Linked DNA regions of Callithrix jacchus. The protein of the gene in region 4 purifies or fractionates together with the protein of the main gene of each other region. This does not show direct contact. Links are inferred from orthologs where the notes say so. Each region holds a gene or a part of one and is shown on either strand. Other genes may lie near its edges.

The links.
Region 1: the proteins of SLC6A15 (region 4) and KLHL36 purify together in Homo sapiens (co-immunoprecipitation; 3 studies listed by BioGRID and IntAct, counting the BioPlex papers as one, with this or other methods). This does not show direct contact. The link is inferred for Callithrix jacchus from reciprocal best matches to the Homo sapiens genes SLC6A15 and KLHL36.
Region 2: the proteins of SLC6A15 (region 4) and GOLGA5 purify together in Homo sapiens (co-immunoprecipitation; 3 studies listed by BioGRID and IntAct, counting the BioPlex papers as one, with this or other methods). This does not show direct contact. The link is inferred for Callithrix jacchus from reciprocal best matches to the Homo sapiens genes SLC6A15 and GOLGA5.
Region 3: the proteins of SLC6A15 (region 4) and GPAT3 purify together in Homo sapiens (co-immunoprecipitation; 3 studies listed by BioGRID and IntAct, counting the BioPlex papers as one, with this or other methods). This does not show direct contact. The link is inferred for Callithrix jacchus from reciprocal best matches to the Homo sapiens genes SLC6A15 and GPAT3.

What each region holds. Positions count from the first base shown.
Region 1 is NC_133521.1:42,325,526-42,331,904, forward strand, and holds part of KLHL36 (kelch-like protein 36), read left to right. Parts: intron 1-947; coding exon 948-1,105; intron 1,106-2,747; coding exon 2,748-3,303; 3' UTR 3,304-6,379.
Region 2 is NC_133509.1:127,640,307-127,646,685, forward strand, and holds part of GOLGA5 (golgin subfamily A member 5), read left to right. Parts: intron 1-1,174; coding exon 1,175-1,405; intron 1,406-3,073; coding exon 3,074-3,293; intron 3,294-3,898; coding exon 3,899-4,022; intron 4,023-5,219; coding exon 5,220-5,423; intron 5,424-6,379. UniProt on the Homo sapiens protein: Involved in maintaining Golgi structure. Stimulates the formation of Golgi stacks and ribbons. Involved in intra-Golgi retrograde transport.
Region 3 is NC_133504.1:114,169,994-114,175,593, reverse strand, and holds the end of GPAT3 (glycerol-3-phosphate acyltransferase 3), read left to right. Parts: intron 1-3,004; coding exon 3,005-3,104; 3' UTR 3,105-4,230; downstream 4,231-5,600. UniProt on the Homo sapiens protein: Converts glycerol-3-phosphate to 1-acyl-sn-glycerol-3-phosphate (lysophosphatidic acid or LPA) by incorporating an acyl moiety at the sn-1 position of the glycerol backbone.
Region 4 is NC_133510.1:87,575,745-87,582,123, reverse strand, and holds part of SLC6A15 (sodium-dependent neutral amino acid transporter B(0)AT2), read left to right. Parts: intron 1-1,422; exon of another isoform or gene 1,423-1,576; intron 1,577-3,132; 5' UTR 3,133-3,316; coding exon 3,317-3,605; intron 3,606-6,379.

The DNA.
Region 1 (6,379 bases), on a different chromosome or scaffold from region 4:
ACTAAAAAGTAAAAATTTAAAAATTTTTAAAAAATAAAAAAAATAGCTGGGCATAGTGCACACCTGTAATCCCAGCTACTCAGGAGCCTGAGGCAGGAGAGTTGCTTGAACTTGCAGTGAGCCGAGACTGTGCCACCCTATGCCACACTCCAGCCTGGGAGACAGCGAGACTCAGTCTCAAAAAAATAAAAAAGTTGACTCTTCTACTTTCTTTTTCTTTTTTCTTTCTTTCTTTTTTTTTTGAGACCCGGTTGTTCCGTTGCACAGGCTGGAGTGCAGTGGCACAATCTCAGCTTACTGCAGCCTCCACCTCCCAGCTTCAGACAATTCTGGTATCTCGACCTCCCGAGTAGCTGAGATTACAGGTGCCCACCTAGCTAATTTTTGTATTTTTAGTAGAGACGGGGTTTCACCATGTTGTCCAGGCTGGCCTCAAACTCCTGACCTATAAGATCCGCTCACCTTACCCTCCCGAAGTGCTGGGATTACAGGTGTGAGCCACCGTGCCTGGCCTCTTCTGTTTAATCTCCTGTGGAATGCCATGTCCTGCTCTGCTTTGGCGGTCAGGACTAATTTTAAAAATCTGATTCAGGAAGCGAAGGATGAATTTTTATTTCAGAAAACCACTAGATCAGCCGTTCTGAACCCCGTGACCCACAGAGTTCCCATCCACAAGGCGGATCACGTGACCAGACAAGTTTTGGAGATCCAGAGCATCTCCATCCCCCTTTTAGATTCAGGGTGTCTCAGGGCAACCTCAGGGGCTCAGAGGGGCCACCTGAAAAAGGCCTTTTCTTCAGGTGCATTTCCCTTTGCCAAACTCACCTGGCTGCCATCTCACCCTCCGGGGCTGTGTGTTCCGCAGACACATTTGGGAAATGCAGCTCCAGATGTTGATGCTGTTTTGTGTTCGGGGAAGGGAAGGTACAGGTGTCTCACTTCCACAGGTGGCCTTCATGAACCAGCGCCGCGTGGATTTCTACCTTGCCTCCATCGAAGACATGCTTGTGGCCGTCGGTGGCCGGAATGAGAACGGAGCACTGTCTTCAGTAGAGACGTACAGTCCCAAGACTGACTCCTGGTCCTATGTGGCCGGCTTGCCAAGGTGATCTGGGGCTTGGGGGAAGGCTCTCCAAGCGGGATGGTTTTAGGGACATAGTTCAGTCCACGTGCCTCACATTCTGGGCAGGTTGGCCTCCAGTTCCAGGAAAGAAATCTTCCAGCTTGTGGGTAGCAGCAGGTACATGAGGAGGGGCAGAGGGCATGGTGGTGCGCAGTCCAGGCTCCGGTTTCAGACTCAGGGCAAGGGTCAGCTCTGCCACCACGACAGACATGCATTTCTCCGTGGCCTGAGTCTGTACCTTCACCGACTTTCAGAGGGTGAGGGACTGACCTGAGGATCTCCCTGAGGTTGCCCAGGAGGAACTCAAAGAGATGGCGGTATCTGTGCTAGGTCTGAAATGCAAGCGTGGGTCTTCAGTTCCTCATCTGTAGAGCGAGGTGATCATCGTGCCCGCTTCGCAGCACTGCCGTGCAGAGCAGATGCGGTGCCGCTGGTGAACCTGCACCCACATGCAGGGAGTGCCCCAGGGCGACCCTCGCCCTCCCAGTCTCCCTTGGTCCAGATGTGCACGTATCGAGCATTTGTTATTGTCGTGGGATTAGCAAAAGCTGCACACCATTTTTCCCACCAGCTCCCTGTTGCCGTACCCAGCAGCGGGCTTTTTGAACCAGTCTTTGCTGTGGAATACATCCCAAGAGGTAGAGGTGTGCGGGGTAAGCGCTCACGTTTTTGTTTTTCTATTTTTTGAGATGGAGTCTCACTCTGTCATCCAGGCCAGAATGCAGTGGCACGATCTCTGCTCACTGCAGTCTCCGCCTTTCAGGCTCAAGCCATTCTCCTGCCTCTGCCTCTCGAGTAGCTGGGCCTACAGGTGCACACGACCATGCCCAGCTAATTTTTGTATTTTTAGTAGAGACGGGGTTTCACCATGTTTGTCAGGCTGGTCTCAAACTCCTGACCTCAAGTGATCTGCCCACCTTGGCCTCCTAAAGTGCTGGGATGACGGGCGTGAGCCCCTGCATCTGGCCTTATTGATCCATTCTTACTCACTGGTTTGCATGATGGTTCCCACTTCCTGGCACAGTTTTGTGGGTTTTGAGGAACGCAGAGCAACATGAATCCACCATTATACCATCATGGAGAATCATTTCACTGCCCTAAACGCCCCCCGTGCAATCCGCATCCAAGCCTACCTTCCCTCTCCCCACAGCCCCTGGCAGCCACTGATTTTGCTGTCTCTATGGTTTAGGCGAAACTTTTCCCGAGCGCCAGCACAGTTAGAATTATGCCGTATGTCAGATTCCCTCTCTGATGTGTGATTCATCGGGTGCCTGTGGGCCTGCTAGCACGTTGTCCTCATCATTTCCAGCCATTGTGAAGTGGGTGGTGGTCCTGTGACTATCCCCATTTCCCAGATGGGGTGAGGGAGACTCAGAGAGGGTGGAGCTGGGTTCTGGCCCAGGTGGCCTGACTGCAAAGCTGTCTCCTTCCCTGCCCTTACCTGCCATTTCTTGGCTAATGACAGCTGCTGTCTAGGAAGTATTCATGGGGTACCCACTCCCAGTATTCTTAAATTCTCATGGCCCCCTAAGATGGCAGGCCGTTCCCAGGCTCAGGGAGGGTAAGCCTGGCACAGCCCTGAGCTCTCCCTCTCTCTCTCTCTCTGTGCCCATCGACTCTCCAGGTTCACATACGGCCACGCAGGCACCATCTACAAAGACTTTGTGTACATCTCAGGGGGCCACGACTACCAAATCGGCCCCTACCGCAAGAACCTGCTGTGCTACGACCACCGGACGGACGTGTGGGAGGAGCGGCGGCCCATGACCACGGCACGTGGCTGGCACAGCATGTGCAGCCTGGGCGACAGCATCTATTCCATCGGGGGCAGTGACGACAACATCGAGTCCATGGAACGCTTCGACGTGCTGGGCGTGGAGGCCTACAGCCCGCAGTGCAACCAGTGGACCCGCGTGGCACCGCTGCTGCACGCCAACAGCGAGTCGGGCGTGGCAGTGTGGGAGGGCCGCATCTACATCCTGGGCGGCTACAGCTGGGAGAACACTGCCTTCTCCAAGACCGTGCAGGTGTACGACCGCGAGGCTGACAAGTGGAGCAGGGGCGTCGACCTGCCCAAGGCCATCGCCGGCGGATCCGCCTGTGTCTGCGCCCTAGAGCCGCGGCCGGAGGACAAGAAGAAAAAAGGCAAAGGCAAGAGGCCCCAGGATCGGGGCCAGTGACCCCGTCGTCACCTCCCAGGCCCCTGTAGACCAGCAGCGACTTCTTAGAATTCCGGAAACATTACGTACAACTTAGCAGCTTTTTTTACTTTTATGATTCTTGGTATTTCTATGATATCACAGTAACCAATTAAATACTATCTATAACTTCACATAATCTTGCTCGAATAACTAACCCTGGGCCCAGGCAGTGAGTAACCCCCTTGTACCTTTGCAGGTCTTTGTCCCATGTTGCCATTCCTCGTTGGGTCCTTGCTCACCGTCCCCCTGAGAGTAGCTGGCACTTGGGTTACTCAGAATTTTTTGTAGTGAAGCTTGCGGCCTCAAAGGGCTATATATCTTAGATCACCTAGTCCAAGCCTCCCCAGACCTGGCTCAGCTTTTAAGAATACTGATTCCTGAGCCCCCTCAGAATTATGGAATCCAGAACCACGAGGAGCAGGGATGGGCCGTTAAAATACAGCCCAGAAACTGTATTTTAACTGGTTCTTGGAATTCTGGGCATCAGCCACATCTGGGAATCACCAGCAAAGTCAGGTGTGTTTGTTTTATGAGTGAGAGCACAGAGACTCCCAGGAGCGTGGGTGGGTGGGTGGGTGAGGGAGTGAGTCAGTGACGGGGGCCACGCAGCTCCCTGGACCGTCACGTGAGCTGTGGCAACTTCCCAGCAGGGCGCCATTCTCCATAGCAGGTGAACGTTGCTTCTGAATAATTCCAGCTTTCCTCATTGGAAACCTTGAATTCTAAAAGGTTACAGGCAACCAAGAGTGAAAATAGGTGTGAAGCTCTTTATAAATGTTACTCTGTAATTGGTGCATTCTTTTCCTTTGGCTTTCTTTCTTTCTTTTTTTCTGATCTCACTATCTTGTATTACTGATGTACTCAGCTCCCCAAATCTGTTTATTTCTCAGCAAAGAAAAAGTGATCGCTACAGAATTTGTGATTGTTCTCTGACTTTATCTTGAGGCACTGTGTGGACCCCTGAGAAGGCAGTGGAGGTCTCCCCCCAACTCCCACGCCAGGTCTCGCCCCAGTTTTCTGCTGCTAAGTAGTTTCACGCTGCTGGGCAAATTCTTGAAAAAATAGACCTGTTTCCTCGTTCATCCCCCTTGGCCACAGGGTTAGATGAAATACCCTCCAGGCTCCTCAGGGCGTCAGGGCTCCTCGACTCTGAGCTGTTCATACCCTGATGGCGTCCCTTTTAGGGTGCACTGACTCCTAGAGCTAGTATCTGTGTCGCTTGCCCTTTAGGAGGGCTCTGGGCTGCCCGAGCGGATGAGAAATGCGCAGAACTGTGGGAGGTTAGGAGTGTGGTGCGTTTTAAGCATGGGCCAAGGAAGGCGTGAATCAGCTGAAGGCAGAGATCAGAAAACCTCAGGATGTGCTTCATCTTCATTCCCAGTCTAACACGTCTTCCTGCAGACAGCTCTGGGAGCAGGTATCAATGTCTCTTGCCCTTTAAGAGTGCTTTCAGCTGGCCAAGTGGATGAGGATCAAGTGTTCAGATTGATACTAGACAAGGAAAAACGTTAACATTTATTTCCGTTTCTTCTGCTTCTTTACTGCACCCGCTTTCCCGTCTCTACAGGGTTTACTGTGTTTCCATTGGTCTGTTTCTGTAGCCTTACAGGAGAGATGAGAGCATTTGGGGGACCGAAAGCTTCGATAGCCAAGTGCCTGCCCTCCGTTGCGAGTGAGGTGAGCAGTCTGCATATTTTGCTAGCTAGTCATTTGCATGTGACGTCCCTGGAGGCGCACAGACTATTGAGAGGTTCTGCAAGGCGTACAAACAAAGCCAAAAGCTGTGAGCTCTGGAGCTCTGCAGCGCTGCTGTGTGAAAGGCTCTGAGAAGTCCTGCATTCATTTACCCTTCCATTAACCCAGCATTGCCAAACTTCTTGGAGCCTGAAACTCTTTTTTGTCTCATATCTAGTCCCAGGCCCCCACAAAACATGTTTTGCAGAACTGCCAACTGTGGGATAGCCCACCTCCTTCCTATTCTGGAAAGGTTTTACTGCTTGAAGTCCCTCAGAAGGCAGGGGAGTGGTGCACACAGTCTCCTCCCCCGCTCAGCCTAGGTTATGAACAAATGGGTGGTGGTTTGACCTGAATCTCGGGCCGCTGGGGAAAGCACATAGAAAGACTCCGTGAGTGATTTGAGGAGAGGATAGCTTTGATCCTGGGGAGCGGAGAGCCGCTGGTTTTTAGCCTAAGCCAGCTCTTCTGTGTTTTGCTTCTGGGACTTGTCCCTGGAGATGTGTGAACTGCTGGCTCCCATTCTGATTCTCTTGTGCCTCATGGGTTACATGTGACATCCTGTGCCTAAAATTTTATGGTCTCTCCTGAGACTGTTAAGGGGGTTTATAATTTACATGGCCTGGAATCTAATATGAATAGGGCTGGGAGCGCTCCTTAGGAGAATAAACCAGTTTCGTCTTGTGGGCCAACTTTCAATATTTGTTGGTGACTACACTGTAACAAGAAAGGTTTTTGAGCTTGTTGGGGTCAATAGATGGGCACAAGAGTGCCACGTGTACCTGGGGCAGGGTTTTGTTACTTGTGTTTGTAAGTTGAAAAGTCACTCTGCTGTGCAGTCTAACTGAAAATGGACGAGACCACGCTTGGGCAGCATGGCAAAATCCCATCTCCACAAAAAAATATATATATAAAAGGTTAGCCAGGGATGGCGGGACATGCGGCAGTCCCAGCTACTTGGGAGACTGACGGGGGAGGATCACCTGAGCCTGGGAGGTTGAGGCTGCAGTGAGCCACGTCATACCACTGCACTCCAACCTGGGTGACAAAGTGAGACCCTGTCTCAAAAAAATAAAACGGTGCTTAACTCCGACGGGCAGAGTTTGGGCTGTACCTATGCAGGGGCCATTTGAACTGCACAGTCACGATAGCAGGCCTTCAAACCAGAGTGACGAAGGCACAGGCTCCTGCAGGCTACCATTTGTAGATGGGAAGAGCCACGCGTGTCACCGTGTTGTTAAACCGTCCCTGCTTCAGGCTGCTCTGCGGGAATGTTGAGGACACCTGTATCTTTGTTATTTTTTTAAATCTTTCAAAATAC
Region 2 (6,379 bases), on a different chromosome or scaffold from region 4:
TAATTTCTTAAGAAATTATAAAACCTTTTTCCACAGTGGTTGTACCACTTCATAGTCCCACCAACAGTGAGAGGTCTAGTTGCTCTGCAGTCTCACCAGCATGTGGTGTTTTTCATTTTAGCCATTCTAGGGGGTGTCTATTGGTTCTCACTGTGATTTTAATTTGCTTTTCCTTGATGACTAAAGATGTTCAGAATTTTTTCATTTGATTATTGATATTTGTTTATGTAACCTTATAAAGCATCAAGTCTTTTACCCATGTATTTATTTTTTAGTCAGTTTTGTTATTTAGATAGTTCATTTTCATCACATAATAGAGTAATTTAAAAGTATACTTGCATTATATTTAATAACAAAAACAAGATTAATCTGAATTCATGAGTCTCTGTCTCTTTGGGTAAGACATTTTAGATTCCAGTTTGTTAAAACAAAATTAAAAAAAACATTGCAGTGACCTGTTATTACTCTTCTTGCCTTGAAACCTGCAGCTGTTCTGTTGTGCCTTCTCAATTTTTCAGTGTTTGGGACTTCTCCCAGTTATTTTTCCAAAAACATTATGGAGACAAAAGGAAATCCAGAATTATTTACCTGAACCTAACCATTCAAGTGATCTCTGGTGTTCTCCACAAAACTGTGTTGTACTCTCTGTTGCCATTCATTCAGTGTAAGGACCTCTTGACGATCCTCAGAGGTCCATATGCTCCATTTATGAGAATGAAATGTCATCAGAGGGAAGCTATTGAGAATTTACTTTTTTTTTTTTTTTGACACTGAGTCTTGCTCTGTCACCCAAGCTGGAGTGCTGTGGTGCAATCTTGGCTCACTGCAACAACTTTGGCCTCCCAGGTTCAAGCAATTCTCCTGCCTCAGACTCCCAAGTAGCTGGCACTACAGATTAGTGCCACCATGCCTGGCTAATTTTTGTATTTTTGGTAGAGATGGTGTTTCACCATGTTGGCTAGGCTGATCTCAAACTTCTGACCTCAGGTGATCTGCCTGCCTCGGCTTCCCAGAGCGCTGGGATGACAGGCATGAGCCACCATGCTGAGCTGAGAATTTGTTTACGTTTTATGGTATTTCAGCTATAGCAGTCAACTTGAGCATCCTACCAAAGCAAGTTATTAATGCATATGTGGTGAACATGCCAATGTAACAAAAACATGTTCTTTTTTAGCAGAAGCTGCCAATAACTCAGATTCTAGCCATGAAGGTCAAGAGGAACATTCAAAGGAAAATGCATCATCAAATGCTGCCTGCACTGAGCACACCCCAGCACCTAATGATGATGGCAAATCACATGAACTATCTAACCTTCGACTGGAGAATCAGCTGCTGAGGAATGAAGTTCAGTCTTTAAATCAAGAAATGGCCTCGTTACTTCAAAGATCCAAAGAAACTCAAGAAGGTAGAGGCTTATTTAAATTGTGCAGGATTAGGGAATTTAACTTTTAAAAAACTAAACTGTTAGCAGTGTTTACATTTAAACTGTGAGAAATTAGATGAGACTTGTAAAATGATATTTTCATAGAAATACAGGGCCCAGATTTGGAAATGGGATCAGTCATCCTCCCACCAACCCAAAACATAAGAGTATTGGCTTCTTTGGTTATTCTTTAAGAACCATGACATTTAAGAACTGAGAGGAATAAACAGTAGTAGTAGTCTAGTTCATTTACTTATTCTGAACTTTCAAGGGAAACTGTTCCATTGAACAAAATAGTAGGCACTAATAGGGTTGCAGTATTGCTGCTCTAGGGTGCATAAAATGTAGATGGAATTCAGTACAGTGCTCTTGAGAAATGTGCAGTGAGGTGGCCCTGGAGTAGAAAACCTCAGGTTCCTCAGAAATAGATAATTAAGAAGGAAATAATCTCATTACTGAGGTGGTGACTGAGAAAAGTGTAAATGTTATTGTGACTGTGGCTGAGAAGAAAACAAGTGACAAAATTGCTGCCTTGGTTTCTGGGGCTAATTAGAAAGGAGTTGGGGGAGGGTGGGAAAAGTTTTGCCAAGCCATGGATAGAAGCTCAGAAGAGCAGAATAGGTAGATAGTTTAAGACTCACTAGTCGGGCTGACTTTAGAAAAAGCTTTGCTTTACCCAGACTAATTTAGACATAGAAATAGAGCTGTTTGGCCAGGCACAGTGTCTCACGCCTGTAATCCCAGCACTTTGGAAGGCTGAGATTAGAAAGTTGCTTGAGGTCAGGAGTTCATTAACAGCATGGGCAACAGAGTGAGACCCCCTTGCTGCAAAAAACAAATTTTTTTTTTTAATTAGCTGAGTGTGCTGGTATGCACCTGTAGTCTGAGCTGCTTTGGAGACTGAGGTGGGCGGATTGCTTGAGCCCAGGAGTTGGAGGTTGTAGTGAGTCATGGGTCATGATCATGCCATTGCACTCCAGCCTAGGCAACAGAGTGAGGTGCGCTCGCTCGCCCCCCCCCCAAAAAGGTCTGTCTCACTGAAAAAAAAAAAAAATTGAGACCCTATAAAGTTTGATTCAATATTTTAAAAAAATTTTGGTGGCTAACTGCAATTACACATGGTATGTGAAAGTGTGGAAATGCCATTGGATTCTGAGATAAAGTACTACTTTTCTCTTTTTGCATTGATTTCCTAGGTCAAAAGAATAGCATCTTTTTGCAACGTAATTGAAAGAAGTAGATTCTTTTCTGTGTTTATCTTTAGGTTTTGTTTTGCTTGTTTTGTTCTTACTGGGATATACCTTTGATTTAGATTTGCATTCTTTCCCCTGTTACTAGCAGAACTTTCCAGAACATACTCTGCTATCTATTAATACTAGTTTTGGCTCCCAGATGCTTTATGATATATAAACAGCATTGTAGAAGAGCAGCTAGCTTCATGCCTCTTTATAATCTATTAACTGTAATCTAGGTGTGAATATTGGCTTTGAAAAATGGATGACCCACTGGGGCAAAGAAAATTGAAGATACATGTAAGCTCCTAACTTTGGCAGTAAGAAAAGTACTAATGGCACTCATAGTAGAAACTATATGTGCTCCAAGAAAAATGTGTTTGGTTTCCTTGTATAGAGAAATTTAAGTTTTTTACAGAATTAAACAAAGCAAGAGCAAGAGTTGAAAAGTGGAACACCGACCATTCAAAGAGTGATCGAATAACTCGAGAACTTCAAGCCCAAGTTGATGACCTGACTGAAGCTATGGCTGCAAAGGATTCCCAGCTGGCTGTACTGAAAGTGAGACTCCAGGAAGCTGACCAGCTGCTGAGTACTCGCACGGAAGCATTAGAAGCCTTACAGAGTGAAAAATCACGGTACGTGATTCTGTGAATAATGAAAAAAAAAATGAGATAGAATGATTCTGTGTTTCCACTGCAAGTAATGGTAAGCATTGTAATGTTTCCTCTTATAAAACTTAGCTTTCTTGGAAATTTGCAAGGGGGAATATTTCTTTTGGTAGTGTTAGAAATGTGTATGATCAAAATGGATTCATTGTTGAACCTTGAGATGCATTGTTAGCAAATTCTGAATTTAAATGCATTTGTATTGTCATTAATCTTATTTTATTTTATTTTTAATTTTTTTTTTTTTTTAAGAGATGGGGTTTCACCATGTTGGCCAGGCTGGTCTCAAGCTCCTGACTTAAGGCGATCTGCCCATCTTGGCCTCCCAAAGTGCTGGGATTACAGGCATGAGCCACCATGCGTGGCCATTTTTTATTATACTGTGTGTACGTATATTTGGGTGCCTAAAAATATAGATTACATTCCATTAGAAAGGAAAGATTTGTCTAAGAATGTTTCAGTCACATCATCTTTTTTGTGCTTGACTAATGAGGTAATGCTCTAAAAATTATTCTGCCTTATCACTTGTACACTGTAGACATGTTTTTTTTTCACGTGGATGCATTTTCCTTTAGAATAATACAGGATCAAAGTGAAGGTAATAACTTGCAGAATCAAGCTCTGCAAACTCTTCAGGAGAGACTGCATGAAGCCGATGCCACTCTGAAGAGAGAGCAGGAGAGCTATAAACAGATGCAGGTTAGAATGGGCGATAAGGGATTCCTATTGTTATTTGTACAAGGAAGAAATGACTTTATGCTGTTTCATAGCACATTAACTCCTTCATACAGTTCTGCAATACATGTCAGAAAATTTTGTTTCCATGACAAAAATCAGATATTTGAAAATTTAGCTTGATCCTTGCTAAGTTTATTTAATTTTATGTGTTGAGAGACAATTAAAATAGTTAATATGCATTAGAGATATACATCTTTCACTTAATTTTTGCAACAGTCATTGCCATTATTTGATTAAATGCTAATGGTTGGGGGACCGTATTTGGTTTTTATTAATTTAAGCTTTTTCTGATTCCAGATTAATCTGGCTCATTTATTTCAAGAGAAAATTATATGTAATATGTAAAGAGTTTTACTTTTAGATGAATTTTTGCATCTAGTTCAGTCTCAGCCCTGTCTACACATGGGAATCACCCGTGTGGTACTGCCTGGTCTTCATATGCAAATAGTCACATTCCATTGTATGAGGTAGGGCCTAGGTATTGGCACTTTGGTTTTACAAGATTCACAGGTGTCTCTAATGAGCAGTCAGGGTTGCAAACCACTGGTCTGGGCTAGCTTTTCAACAGGTGAAAGTAGTTCAGTCCTGACAGTAAATATCAGGTAGTGTGTGTTTCTTAATTTTAATGATGTATTTTATCTAACACAGTGTATCCAAAGTAGTTATCATTTCAACGTGTAGTCAAATGAAAAGTTGTTAATGAGATATTTTACATTATTTTTTTGGATACTGATTATTTAAAATGTGGTGTAATTTACACTTATTTATTTACTTATTAAATTGGAAGCAGTTGATCAGCTAGTATCAGAGCAGACCTAGTATCCAAGAGACCATATTCACCTGGGAAATTTCTTTTTTTTTTGAAATTTCTTAATAAACGGATTCCCAAGCCAATCTTGAATATTCCAATTTAGTAAGCTTGGGAAAGGCCTTGGATGGCTGTATTTTTAACAAACTTCCTACTTGATTTTGATGCATTGCCGTGTTTGGGAGCCACAACCTTAGATTTCCTATTCTTTAGCTCCTAACAAATTAAGAATTTTTTCCCCTCCCTATTATGTTGTTGGGCTTAGCTGATAAATGCCTTAAGATATCTGAATGTATGGTTGTAAAATATGTTTCAAAGCTCAATGATTACAATATAAAAATTTGTCACAGAGTGAGTTTGCTGCGCGCCTTAATAAAGTGGAAGTGGAACGTCAGAATTTAGCAGAAGCAATTACGCTGGCAGAAAGAAAATATTCAGATGAGAAGAAGAGAGTTGAGGAACTGCAGCAGCAAGTCAAGCTATATAAGTTGAACTTGGAGTCCTCTAAGCAGGAATTAATTGACTACAAGCAAAAAGCTACTAGAATACTCCAAGTAAGCATGAAATGGACACTTTGGATGTTCAGATGTGCGCGTTAACTGAAAGACACTTTGAGACCTGTAGTTACTGTGTGAGATGCTTTGTTCATGTTTGGCTGGTTGGCTACCTTTAGGTGTCTTGCTCTACTTTAGAAATTTGATTAAAAGGATGCAGTCTATCTTGTTCCTACCAATTCTTTTTTAAAAAATTCCTTCTCCCCCTGTCAAGTTCAGGGCTTCAACCTGGCACCATACTCACTGTGATGATATTAGCGCTTGTTGTTGGGCAGCTGTTTATTCTTCCTTGTTAAGCTCCTATGGAATTTTTGCAGCAACTGCTTTAGGACTCATCCTGTTCTCAGAATTGCCTCATCCAGCTTTTTTTGCCTCCAGATCTAAGGCGAGCTTACCCTTTACTTAGAAAGCCTGCAGTCATCTAATGTCATTTTCAGGTTCTCTTTCCTTTGTCCCTCATTTCAGAGGGAAAACATGACCTTTCATTTTGTTTCTAGGACCATTTTCCTGGCTGTGCACTGATTCTATCTCCTCCCACCTCATGTAAGCCCTTTCTTGGTTTATCTATTCCCTTGCTTCCTGTGTGTGCCTCTCTCTCTGCTGCTGCCACCTTCTGGCTCAGCTTATTCAAGAGCACATGGTTACTTAGTGGAAAAATGAAGGCTAGATCTCACACTCCTAAGAGAAAAAGTCTCTTTTAGCTTTGTGCCCACTTTGCACAGACTTACCGGAATTGTTGTACATATGCCGTCTTCATTTCTGTAGACCTTGTTAACTTTATCTCCTTCTTTTCCTACTACATGTCTGAAATTTCTTCTCAAAAGTATTTGATGACCTCAATAAATATTCTCTGTCCTTTTCTTAGTCTCTATACCTTTTATTTTGGTAGAACATTTGGCTCCGTTAATCCTCCCACTTTCTTGGAACTCCTGCCTTCTATGCTGTTCACATCTTCT
Region 3 (5,600 bases), on a different chromosome or scaffold from region 4:
GGGAGGCGGAGGTTGCAGTAAGGCAAGATCCCACCACTGCATTCTAGCCTGGGCGATGGAGAGAAACTCTGTCTCAAAAAAAAAAAAAAAATTGTTATGCAGGGGCTGGGCACAGTGGCTCATGGCTGTAATCCCAGCACTTGGGAGGCTGAAGTTGGTGGATCACTTGAGTTTAAGAGTTCGAGACCAGCCTGGGCAACATGGTGAAGCCCCGTCTCTACAAAAAGAATACAAAAATTAGCTGGGTGTTGTAGTGTGCACCTGTAGTCTCAGCTACTCCAGAGGTTGAAGTATGAGAATCCTTGAAACCAGGAGGTCGAGGCTGCAGTAAGCCGAGATTATGCCACTGCGCTGCAGCCTGGGTGACAGAGCAAGACCCTGTCTCAAAAATTAAATAAATAAAAAAAATAAAATTTGTTATGCTAATTAACAAAGCTTGGGAAATCAATGAGCAATAAAGATAAAGATAGCTGAAGCCATTCGTGGCACCTGTGAAAGGCAGCCTTCTGATTAAATGCTGGCTGACTACTGTGGAGTATGAATTCTTGACCAACAAGGTCTATGACTTGAATTCCATACACCTTGGAGTATGAAACTGACTAGCCTTAAGGTATAGGTTAAGACTAAACATTTGTATCACACTATCTACACTGGAATATATTAAACAAAATGACAGACATCATAACATCATAAAACTATATAAAACTACCTTGGTCCACAAATGTCCTAGCAACCTACAGTTTTAAGTGCAATGGGTTCCTTTTCCTTATTCATTTTTCAAAAACTCTTTACTCACCCTTTATCTTACCTGACACCCAGATTTCCTGCTCCTACTCTGAAGTCAGTGTCTGTAGTCTCAGACACAGAGGAAGGGAAAAAAGCTTTGAGAGACAAAAAACCTAGAGGAGTCAGCCAAGTACAGACTTTCCATCAGATTGGCTGAATAAAATGATCCTCAGAATTGCCACTTTCCTTTTATCAGGCCATAAGCAATTGTACAATAAAAATCACTTTTAATTACCTAGCCTCTTAAAAAAAAAAGAAAGTGGCCTCATGGCCCTTCTAGATATATTTGTCATGTACTTATTGGATATGAATTAACATATCTAGATTGCTTTTTTCATAGATTGAGCGAAAATATAATTTTATGATCTTAAGCTGGCTCTTATATATGGTTACTGCCTTCCTTAAGAACTAAGATCTACTGCCATTGCAAAGGGGAGTTGGGTAAAACTTTCAAGTCTCTAGGGGTAGCAAGTCACAGTTTAGGTGATTAGCACAGCATGAGGTTTACTGGGTGCTTGGGAACTGTACAAACTGTACAAAAATGTAAAAAAAAAGTTTAAAAATGGTGTCAGATCGCTCAAGACTTAAATTTTTGCCTGTTTTGGGCTTGGATCTCGTGAAAGGAGAAAAGCCTTTCTTATCTCTCCCTCCTTTCCTTAGTTCTCACTGTTCAGAATTCAGGTAAGTGCTGTTAATAGAAGAAGCTCATTTGGATAAAAGAGGCTTATGTGGACAATTCTGTGGACCTAACAACAATTTATAATCTTGTTTCTTGAAAACCTTCCACAACTGACCCCCTGGATTATCTGTGGATCACAGTCCATTTTTAAGTTGAGGACTGATTGCTGTGTCTCAGATTTGACTCTAGAAGCCAGAACATTGCAGTGGTCTCAGGCAGGTGTCTCTATGGAGGTCAAGTTCTGTCCTCATGTCATTGAGTTCACTGGCTAACCTATGATCATCCATCATCATCAGAAAGCATTTGGTAAACATGCATGCTTGACTGGGTTAAAATTAAACAGTCACAGTATAAAGTAAGCAAGTTCTCAGCTCATGCTCTCCTTGGAGTTAAAATCTAAAACATTAGATTAATAGGCAGATAGTGACCTCTGATAGTCCAGTCTACTCCCAGCAACTCCAGTTTGTTATTTCTTGGGGTGTAATCCAAAGAAGGAAAAGCATACAGAGTTCTTATACCCAGGCAGGCATGTGTTTTCCTACTCTGGAGAGAGTTCAAAGATATACAGGCTCTGAATGAAGGAATACTGCTTACATAGGCACGCACTTCTCATTGAATGCAATTTATGATTTTGTTGTTTGTTTTATTCTGAGTCTGTTTATGGAATATAAAAGATTATAGATACTGGAAATATGTTTTGAATGAAAATACAACTTGTTAAACATAGATAAGGTTAGATTAGAAAAATGATTTTTTAAAAATGATTATTTATCTTTAAGAAATTTACCCACACATATACAGTACCCTTACCATTTCTTCTGCATATATTTTCAGTTTTCCTATGGTTTTCCAGTAAGACATAGGTAGATAAATACCAGTATTTTGTTTTCCTGAGGGAACAAAATAGAGAAATAATCCATTTTAATAATCTTTGTTTCAATCCAAATATATACATATATATTTTTTGAGATGGAGTTTCACTGTTGTTGCCCAGGCTGTAGTGCAATGACGTGGTTTTGGCTCATTGTAACTTCTGCCTCCCAGGTTCAAGCAATTCTCCTGCCTCAGCCTCCCAAGTAGCTGGGATTACAAGCATGTGCCACTATGCCCAGCTAATTCTGTATTTTTAGTAGAGATGAGGTTTCACCATATTGGCCAGGCTGGTCTTGAACTCCTGATCTCAGGCAATTCACCCACCTTGGCCTCCCAAAGTGCTAGGATTACAGATGTGAGCCACTGCGCCTGGCCAATCCAAATATTTAATACAGCACCCCTTAACTTCTGAAGAGAAACTGAGTTGGAGATATTGTTACTTATTTTAACCAAACATCAGAGAGATTGTTCCTTTAATGTACGTTTAGCAAGTGGTAGGGCAGAGACTGAAACCTGGGTCTTCCTGTTTCCAAATCCAGTATTCTTTCTCTTATTTCATCCCAGCTGCTTCAGTGTCATGGCATCATGCTGCATGTGACTATTAGGTTAACTCTTTGAAATCACCGCTGTAAAGTATCTTTTATGTATTTGTCTTTCTGTTTGCAGGGATGGAGGGCTAAAGAGAGCAAAGGTGAAGGACACCTTCAAGGAAGAGCAGCAGAAAAATTATAGCAAGATGATTGTGGGCAATGGATCTCTCAACTGAGTGGACGGATGACAGCCTGTAGATATACCTGGCTTTCTAGAACTAGCCGTTAGAAATGGAATGGCTTTATTTTTTTGTTTTGTTTTATTGTTTTGTTTTTATTATTGTTAATCTTTTCTACAGAATGATTGTCTCTACCTCTTTATGCCAGAGGCAGAACCTACAGGTGCCCTTTTTGACTTTTGTTATTGTTATAACATTAGCCCCATGGATTATAAGGTGGTTTACTGAGTTAAAACAGATTCTGCTTTTATAAAATCATAGCGTCACTGTTGACTGAATGAAATATTTGTACAGGAAAAAGTGTGTGTAAGGTGTGTTTGGAACTCATCGATAGGGTAATTCTCAAAAAATGCCCAAACTTTCTTTCTCTACTTAGCCTTGCCACTTTCCTCAGTCACTTAACTGGTGAGATTACACATCAGTGCAAGATGACCATTATGGTTATGGTCTACTTACTGTCAGGCAGAAAGGAAAAATGGAGGATTATATTTAGGAAAAGGGATAACTCTGTGGCCACCTGCTCCGAAAGTCAAAAGGAAGTGTAAATTAGTGTTATAAGCGTGTTGGAAGAGAATACTATTCAGTAAGCGTTGCCAAAGAAAAGTGAGTCAAAATTAATGTGTGTGTGCATTTATATGTAGGCAGCTCATAGACACATTTTAGCCAGCAACTGACAACAAAGCGCTTACTTTTCCTCGTTTGAATGCTGTAGATCTGTACCTAGTTCTCTCCCATATACTGATTTGTTTGTTTTTGTAACCAAACACATTTTCAGATAGAAAGAGCCTTAAAAAAAAAATCACATCGAGTATCTTAAGTATGAATGAATGAGAGTGTGTGGAGCTGCCCCTCACCCTCCACCCGTTTGTGGTTTATTCCCAAATTTTCCCAGTCTCTTCAACAGAAAAAATGACTGATGTTATAATTACCTTTTGGAAACTGAGCCTTAATTTTTTTTTTTAGAGGGGGAAATAAGTTTTTCCCAACTCACACAGCATAAGCAATGTTTGACAGCAATATGATGCCGCTGTAAACTCCTGAGAGTATTATATCTGTTCTGGTAACTGTATACAGAACGTGAAACTGTCTTCTTGTGACTGTAAATAAATTCTATATTTCTAAAGGCATGTTGCATTATTTCCCCCCTCCCTCCTCCCTTTTCTGGTTTTGAGTAAGTTAAATTCATTCTTATTACAGACAGGGGTTGTTTGATTTTCATTTCAGTGGCATAGTTAGATTTTATTGGACTGGAACAAATGGGAAACAAGAACATGAGCCATGGACTCCCCTACCTCCCCCTGCTTAAATCTTGTTTTTTTAGCCGAGTTATTTGGACTCTGGCCCTGTGAACTCCACCTTGAGCAAAGTCACAGACTACAGTTATTTTGCAGGTGAATTCAAGCAATTATATCTAACTATCTAGGTAGGCCTGGCATAGCACTATCAGTGTATACTCTTCTTATCTAGCTAGCTAGTTGGATTTCATTCCAAAAGGAAACTTGCAAACAGGTTACTCTCCTGGTCATTCACCCCTCTGTTCTCACTCTCCTCACTTTCCCTTTGTTGTTTGTTTAAATTTTGCCCCACAAACTCTTATTTGGAGTGATCTTGACTGAAATTTAGCAAATCCAAATATGTATGTTGGGTGACTTTTTGTCTTATTTATTTTTCTCAGAAAAAGGAGGGCCTTTAAAAAAATTTTTTTAAATGTTAATTGTGGCTTGAACTAATAAATCTATTTCATTAGCCCAGTTCTCAGAAAAGTGTATCTTTCCAAGAGCACTGTAAAAATGCCAGTGCCTGGGCCTTGCTCTGATTTGGTCTTCAGCAGTGTGCAGGCCCGCTCTGCCCCGCTGGCCTCAGCCTTTCTCTTTCATCATTGTTCACCTCACCTTCATCCACCTTCTTCCCTTGTCCCCGAACCTAAAAAAACCAAAAAACAAACACAGAATGCTATCATGTATTCGCTAGATAACCTAATAGTGTCTCAGTCAGAGCTTTTCTCTCGTAGGTCTGAATCACACAAGTAGTTTCCAGGTTGCTTAAGGAACTGCCATGTTGTTGAAGCCATGTTTTTGGGAAGCTGTTATTGCTCAGATTTAGCATATGCTCCTTAGAACTCCTTTTACGTTTGCTTTCCCTAATATTATTCTATACCCACTTCAGAGATATTGTGTCCAGAATTTAGTATTCCTGAGTCTTCCGTAATTATAAGGCAATATGAAGGGAAGGCAGAATTTGGTAGAAAAATCTCATTGGGTAAGTAAGAACTTTCATCTAACCCTTGCATATGTTCATGAATTGAGCCTTGAGGTTGCCCTGTTTTTATTTCAATTGTTTGTTATGCGGTCATATTTATAGACAGCAGCTTCTAGGAATGCCAAGGGTTTCTAAAATACCATGCCACATACTGAGATTGGATGAGCAGCCATGTGTGAAACAGTAAATATACTCAGAGCGCAGGGGAAATAGTTTCGGGTGCCACTCTGGGGC
Region 4 (6,379 bases):
ATTGTTGTCGCTTTATTTAGTTTTAATCTCTTCAGAAACTAAATTTATTTATTTACTTTTGGCTCTGTGAAACGTGTGCCCAAGAAGTGAATTCTTATGTTCAATGAGTTCATGGTCTTGGGGTTAAACTACAAACAAAAATGAAAACATCTAATAGTGTAAAATACTTGTTTAGTTATATGATCTTACTCTTCAAATATTTTAGTTCATTCATTCATTTAACCAACAAGTTTAAACATTGATCATATGAAGGTAAGATAAACCAAGTCATTCTCAAGGCAATGACTTACTTTCTCCTAGACTTATATGTTACTGTGAACATTTTAATGTTAATTACAATACTTCCCCTGTATTCCTACAGCCACCCCAGACAGACCAAGAAGTGGGAGACAGTAAGAAAAATAAGACAATAAGAAAAGAAAGCTTATTTTATTTATAATATCGTTAAGTATTCATTATTTTCTTTGCTCGTATTAGAAAGGAGTTCTTAATGCATGCAAATGCCCATTTTAACTCCCTTTTTAATAAATATTATATAAAGTTTGGCTAGGGTTGTTATTATACAATATCTATAGTATATTTATATATATTCAAAGTATTTATAACATTGCACTTACAATTTGTCTACATTAGATGCTGATTTTTTCAAAACAGAAAATATGAACTTCAGGTAGTCTGATCAGAATTTTTAAGTGTAAACTTTGCCGAAGGATATCTTACGTAAATTGGTGAAGATTGGTGACTTGGTATGCAAAAAACATACAGTAGTAGCCAAAGGTATTACCTTTTATTTTGATATTTTTGTGTATTTTTTCTGCAAAGAATAGAAATGTATAGAAGTAATATAGTAGTTTCTTTAAAAGTTTGGGGGGAGATTCATGGTTAACACTATTTAAAAATTTTTTTCTTTATAAAATGTTGAGTGTTTTTACTATAATAATATCTCTAAGATTGGATATACTCCTTTTCTATCTGTATGGAAAAAGCAAATGGAAGAAGAAATCAATGTTTATTGTGGGAACTGAGTTAAGAGAGACATAGCTACCAGCTTTTACACAACTAATAAGTTGTAATGCTAGAACACAACTCCAAATTTGTCAGATGAAAATCCACGCTCTTATCTGTATGTCACTTGTTACTATGCCAACAAATTTTATCTTTAGTTTAATAAATGTAAACCTTTTTTTTCTGGATAATTCATGTCTTACAAATCACAATTTTTTATATATCAGGTTGTTTTCTTCCAGTGAATACTATCTAGAAAATTTACTTATTTCAGTTTTTCAATGGCTATATTTATTAACGTATTCAACTAATATTTATTGACTTGTGGGGAAAAATAATATAAATTAAACAGACACAACCCCAAATCTCCTGAATTATTTTCATATCAAAACCTTGTTGGTCTCTTTAGTCACTGTGATCGCTTCTCAGCCTTTTCACTAAGATCAAGTGTACTATCTGTTTTCATCAGTTTAAAATAATCACTGTGGGAAGTTTTTCACCTATTCTAGAGATGTGTCTATCACTGAAAATATTTTGGGAATGCATCTCTTTCACAATTTTCTAAACAGTTTTCTCTTAATTGTCGCCAAATCCTAAATGAGAAGTGTTTGCTCTTAGGGTATGTATTTTAATGTTAGAAACAACTAAACATCATCACAGCCTAAAGGCAACAAATTAGTTACATAGTAAGTTAAAAATTTTTCTTTCTATTGGGATATCCAATATTCTGTCTTTCTCACTAAGATTATAGATTGAAATATGAAAGCTGTTTTCTTTGACTTTTAATGTAAATCTAAAAGCAGTTCTCTTAAGAAATTCTATTTTGTTCCAGAAATAAAGGGCAGAGTTCTTGGGCTACCATTTCGGAAGCTTCCTGATCCAGCTTTGAAAACTCACATGTTTATTCACTTTTAACACAGACAGTGTCGCTGGTCTGTAGACATGTGTTGTATACTTACTTGGTCTGTGTCTGAGTGGGGAGAAGGATAGGAGATGTAACATACAAATAGGAAAAGGGAAAAAAAGTCCCAACGTGTTTGCAGTGTTTTTCTTGAGCTGTTAAGAGACTGATCACATACATAATGTACATTTTTACCATTTCTCATCTCATTTATACTTTTCCTTATGTTTAGGTATGACCTCACTCCATTTTATTCAACATTCCTGATCTTTTCTGTTGTAATGATGTTGGGTCATTTAATTTCTTCATTACGTATTGCTATTTGATATACCTTTCTTTCTATTAAATATAAGATCCTTAAAAACATGCTCTGTACATTTCATTGATTATTGTATCACATAAAGCCCAATCACAATAAATTCAAATGGATTGGGTGTGATGGCTTATGCAATATAATCCCAGCACTTTGGGAGGCCAAGGCAGGATCTAGCTTGAGCTTGTAAGTTCGAGACCTGCCTGGGCAACATAGTGAGACCTCATCTATACAAAAAAAAAAAAAAAAAAAAAGGAAAACTAAAATTAGCTGGGTGTGGTAGTACACACCTGTAGCTACTTGTGGGACTGAGGCAAGAGGATCTCTGGGTAAGGTACAGGCTGCAGTGAGTTCTGATTGTGCCATGGCACTCCAGCCCGGGTCACAGAGAGAGACCCTGTCTCCAAAATTAAAATAAACTAGATTAAATTTTGTAAAAAGAACAATTAATATCAAATGAGTAAATAATGAATATTTGAACAGAAGAGGTTGTATATAAAACAAATTTACAGAGTTGTTATGCAATTGGGTATACAATTCTACAAGGAACAAAATCAGGGATATATAGGAAAAGATCTATCTGCTTTAGTTGGGGAGGAAAATAGAAAGAATTAAGAAAAAGAGTCATAAAAGTTTAGTTACTAATGAACAGATATTCATTATGCATTGGAGTATATCTGAGAGTTTTGCAAGAAGGAGGAAGTTAGCTAAGAAGATTGTATTTGAAGCTCATATGTGCTTTGCAATTCTTATACTTACAAGAATATTAAGCTCTGAAAAGCTAAAGACAATTATATGTTTTATACTCTGTAGAAAGATTTTCTATAATAAAAATGAACAAAAAAGAATAATTTGGTATTTTAAATATTTTTCATAATCAAATACGGTCATATTTCAACTTATAATTTTACAGATACCTACAGAATATTGGACATACGGATTCAGAATCCATAAGGCTTTATCACCTGGAATCAAGGATTTATTTGGTACCTTCTTGGTCGTCATATCAAGTAACATTGTTTCAAAAAACAGAATTAACATATTTGCCATAAAGGAGTTTTTTGTTTTTTCTTTGATAATACTTCCTATACTTTCCAATGCCTAAAAACAGCAAGGTGGTAAAAAGAGAATTAGATGATGATGTTACTGAGTCTGTCAAAGACCTTCTTTCCAATGAAGACTCAGCTGAGGATGCTTTTAAGACAAGCGAATTAATTGTTGATGGCCAAGAAGAGAAAGATACAGATGTCGAAGAAGGATCTGAAGTCGAAGATGAAAGACCAGCTTGGAACAGTAAACTACAGTACATCCTGGCCCAAGTTGGATTTTCCGTAGGTTTAGGAAATGTGTGGCGATTTCCATACCTATGTCAGAAGAATGGGGGCGGTAAGTTATTTTTTTAAGTGATAAATTACTGTAGTAAACTGCAACTGGGTGTCTCAAATAGCTCCTATTATTGCTGTAGTCTCATTATTTTTGAAACTTTCAATTCCGTTGTAAAACTAGGGAAACTTCTTTGTGAGAAGTGAGCCCAGATATGTTTTTGGATTAGGTTTCCATAGGAGCAGATGGGCTTGCTGTGAATACTCAGGGATTCCTTAAGGGTAACACATTCTCAGATTCTTTCTCTGGAAGCTATAAACATCTCTGAATTACTGACTGGAACTTTTCTAACAAATATTGCATCATTTATGCCTGTCAGTTATTCCCTTTGAAGAATAACCTAAAGCTTCTGATAGATGACAATACTGGTGAAGGAAAACAGAGAATTTTCTCTCCATGATTTTTTACTTCTTAATTTTAAATTGCCTCACTCTTCAAAAAATAAAAAAGATATGTAATCAAGAATAATTATGATTGTCAAATGCTGATGAGAACATTTAGATCCCAGTAGAAAGAATATAAACAGATAATATAATGCTAGACATTCTTCATCCTTAGGCATTTTATATATTTCATTTCCAGTTCTATGATATTTTGGGACAATGTTCAGTTTCAAAGAAAATTTTAAAGAATTAGCAACTTTAATTTTAAACAAAATTATCTATAACATCATTGATATTCTTGCTATTAATATTTGCATTTGTGAATGTAATTATAAAGGCTTACTTAGCAAAAATTATCTTAGAAGTCTATGGAAAAAACTTTACAAAGGAGAAAATTGCTCATATATGATGATAGTTTTATAGTACACCAAAATCAAACTGAATTTAACTAACATTGGGTTAAAATGTTATTATCTATATATATGAGATATTATTTATGTCTATGTATATGCTGTTAAAATAAGTGTGGCTGAAAATGAGATATTCCATAAGTCATGCATTTCAGGGCACAAAGTATATAAATAATATTTTGGTATTTGATTCTAGTTTGTGATAGTTTTATTGACTGGATAAAAATATGGTTTATTTTTAATTTAGTTGTAATCTACAAACCCTACATCAAACAATATAATCCATGCATATGTAAATTTTTTGTTGGCCACTGAAACATGAAACACTAAGATGTTATGGTGACAAAATATGTTTAAGATATTTTTCATTTAATACAAACAGGCACAAAACAAAAGGTTTGGAAAAAGGTTTGCCCATTTGGCAAATCTGCTTGAGAGATAAAGATTGATAAATAGAGTCAGTGATGCACTATGCATCCCTATACTGAAAAGCTCCTTGGCTAGCTGGTAATGTCACATATGAATTATTTATCAAATCAGCTGTAAGCAACTATGTACTATCCTGCTTTTTGTTCTCACACATCATTCCATTTGCCAAGGCAAGCAGAAGATAAATTCTGGTTTTGAGACTTTTTGACCTTGTAAATTTTATTGGCCACACTGTTAAGAAGGATGGCTGATTTGGTTGAAAAGTCAGATTGACTTCCACTTAGTACAACTTCTATTTTGGTTGAGAATGCTAAAAGACTTTATATTTAGTAATTGGTTCTTAGCAAAAATGGCTCCTCCTTCTTATTTCCGTATGTTAAAAAAGTCAAAATATCTTTTCTAGTATTATTTATTTTCTTCAAAATGGAAATACGAGAAAGTAGTACTGTACATACTATAAAATACAAATTGATTTTTCATTTCAGAATGGTTATTATAGTACCAAAAATTGTACTCAACATACAGTATAGTATTGGGTCTTCTAGCTGTTGGAGGAATATCTTCTGACTAAGCAACCAGAAGATAGTCCTCGGCCTCAGGCTATAAAAATCGTATTCATGAATCATTTAAGCACTTTCTGAATAATAGAAAAAAGGTATTAGAGTCAATATAAGTGTATTTACCTAATGATATTATCCTTTTAAAGCACAACGTTTAAGCGTAATAGGTGGTATAGCATAGAGGCTTCCAGATCAGGTTTTGAAGTAAATTTGACTGTTTGAAGCCTGGTTATTTTTCACATTAGCCATGTGATCTTTCACAGGCTACCTCATTTGCTCAGGCTTAGTTCCCACTCTGTAATATAGGGTTAATAATGGTATCTATCTCCAAGGATTCTTGTAAGGAGAAGGGTACATGTAATGTGCTTAGAAATGTGGCTGGTAAATAGTAAATGTTCAAATATATATATTTAAAGCATAACACATTTATTTAATCATAGTCTTACATGACATGAAAACCTTCAGAAAGGAAGACACAAAGACTAAGGGAAAACTGTCAGTTTTTATACTTAGAATATGTGAAGAATAGGCAGTCATGTAGAAATGTGATTGGATAAAATGGTATGATCTAATGAGAATAGACTAACAGAAGAAAGCACAGCAAGTCCTGTCTGTTCAGATTCTTTCTGGCCTCTGGAGTAGCATTCCTTCCTCCTGGATATGAAATAGGACCCCTCTGGAATGAGGATCTTCAAGGGAGAAGGGAGAAAATGACATTTCTAGGTGTTGGGGCTTGCTTTGAGGAAGAGGCATTCTAGTTTCTATGGCCCATCCTGGGGGAAAAGAATTCTTGTTTCTACGACTTGTTTCAGGGACAAAAAAGGAGTGGGAGAAGGAATAAAAGAAGAGGCAAGGAAGTCTTGGCTTCTGAGGTCCTTCCAATCTCCCTTAGTTCAAGGTACTTGGCATGCCAAGGTGCCATGCTTAAAAAATATATTTCAATAAGTTTTTGTGTACAAGTGGATTTTTGTTGCATGAACGAATTATATAGTGGT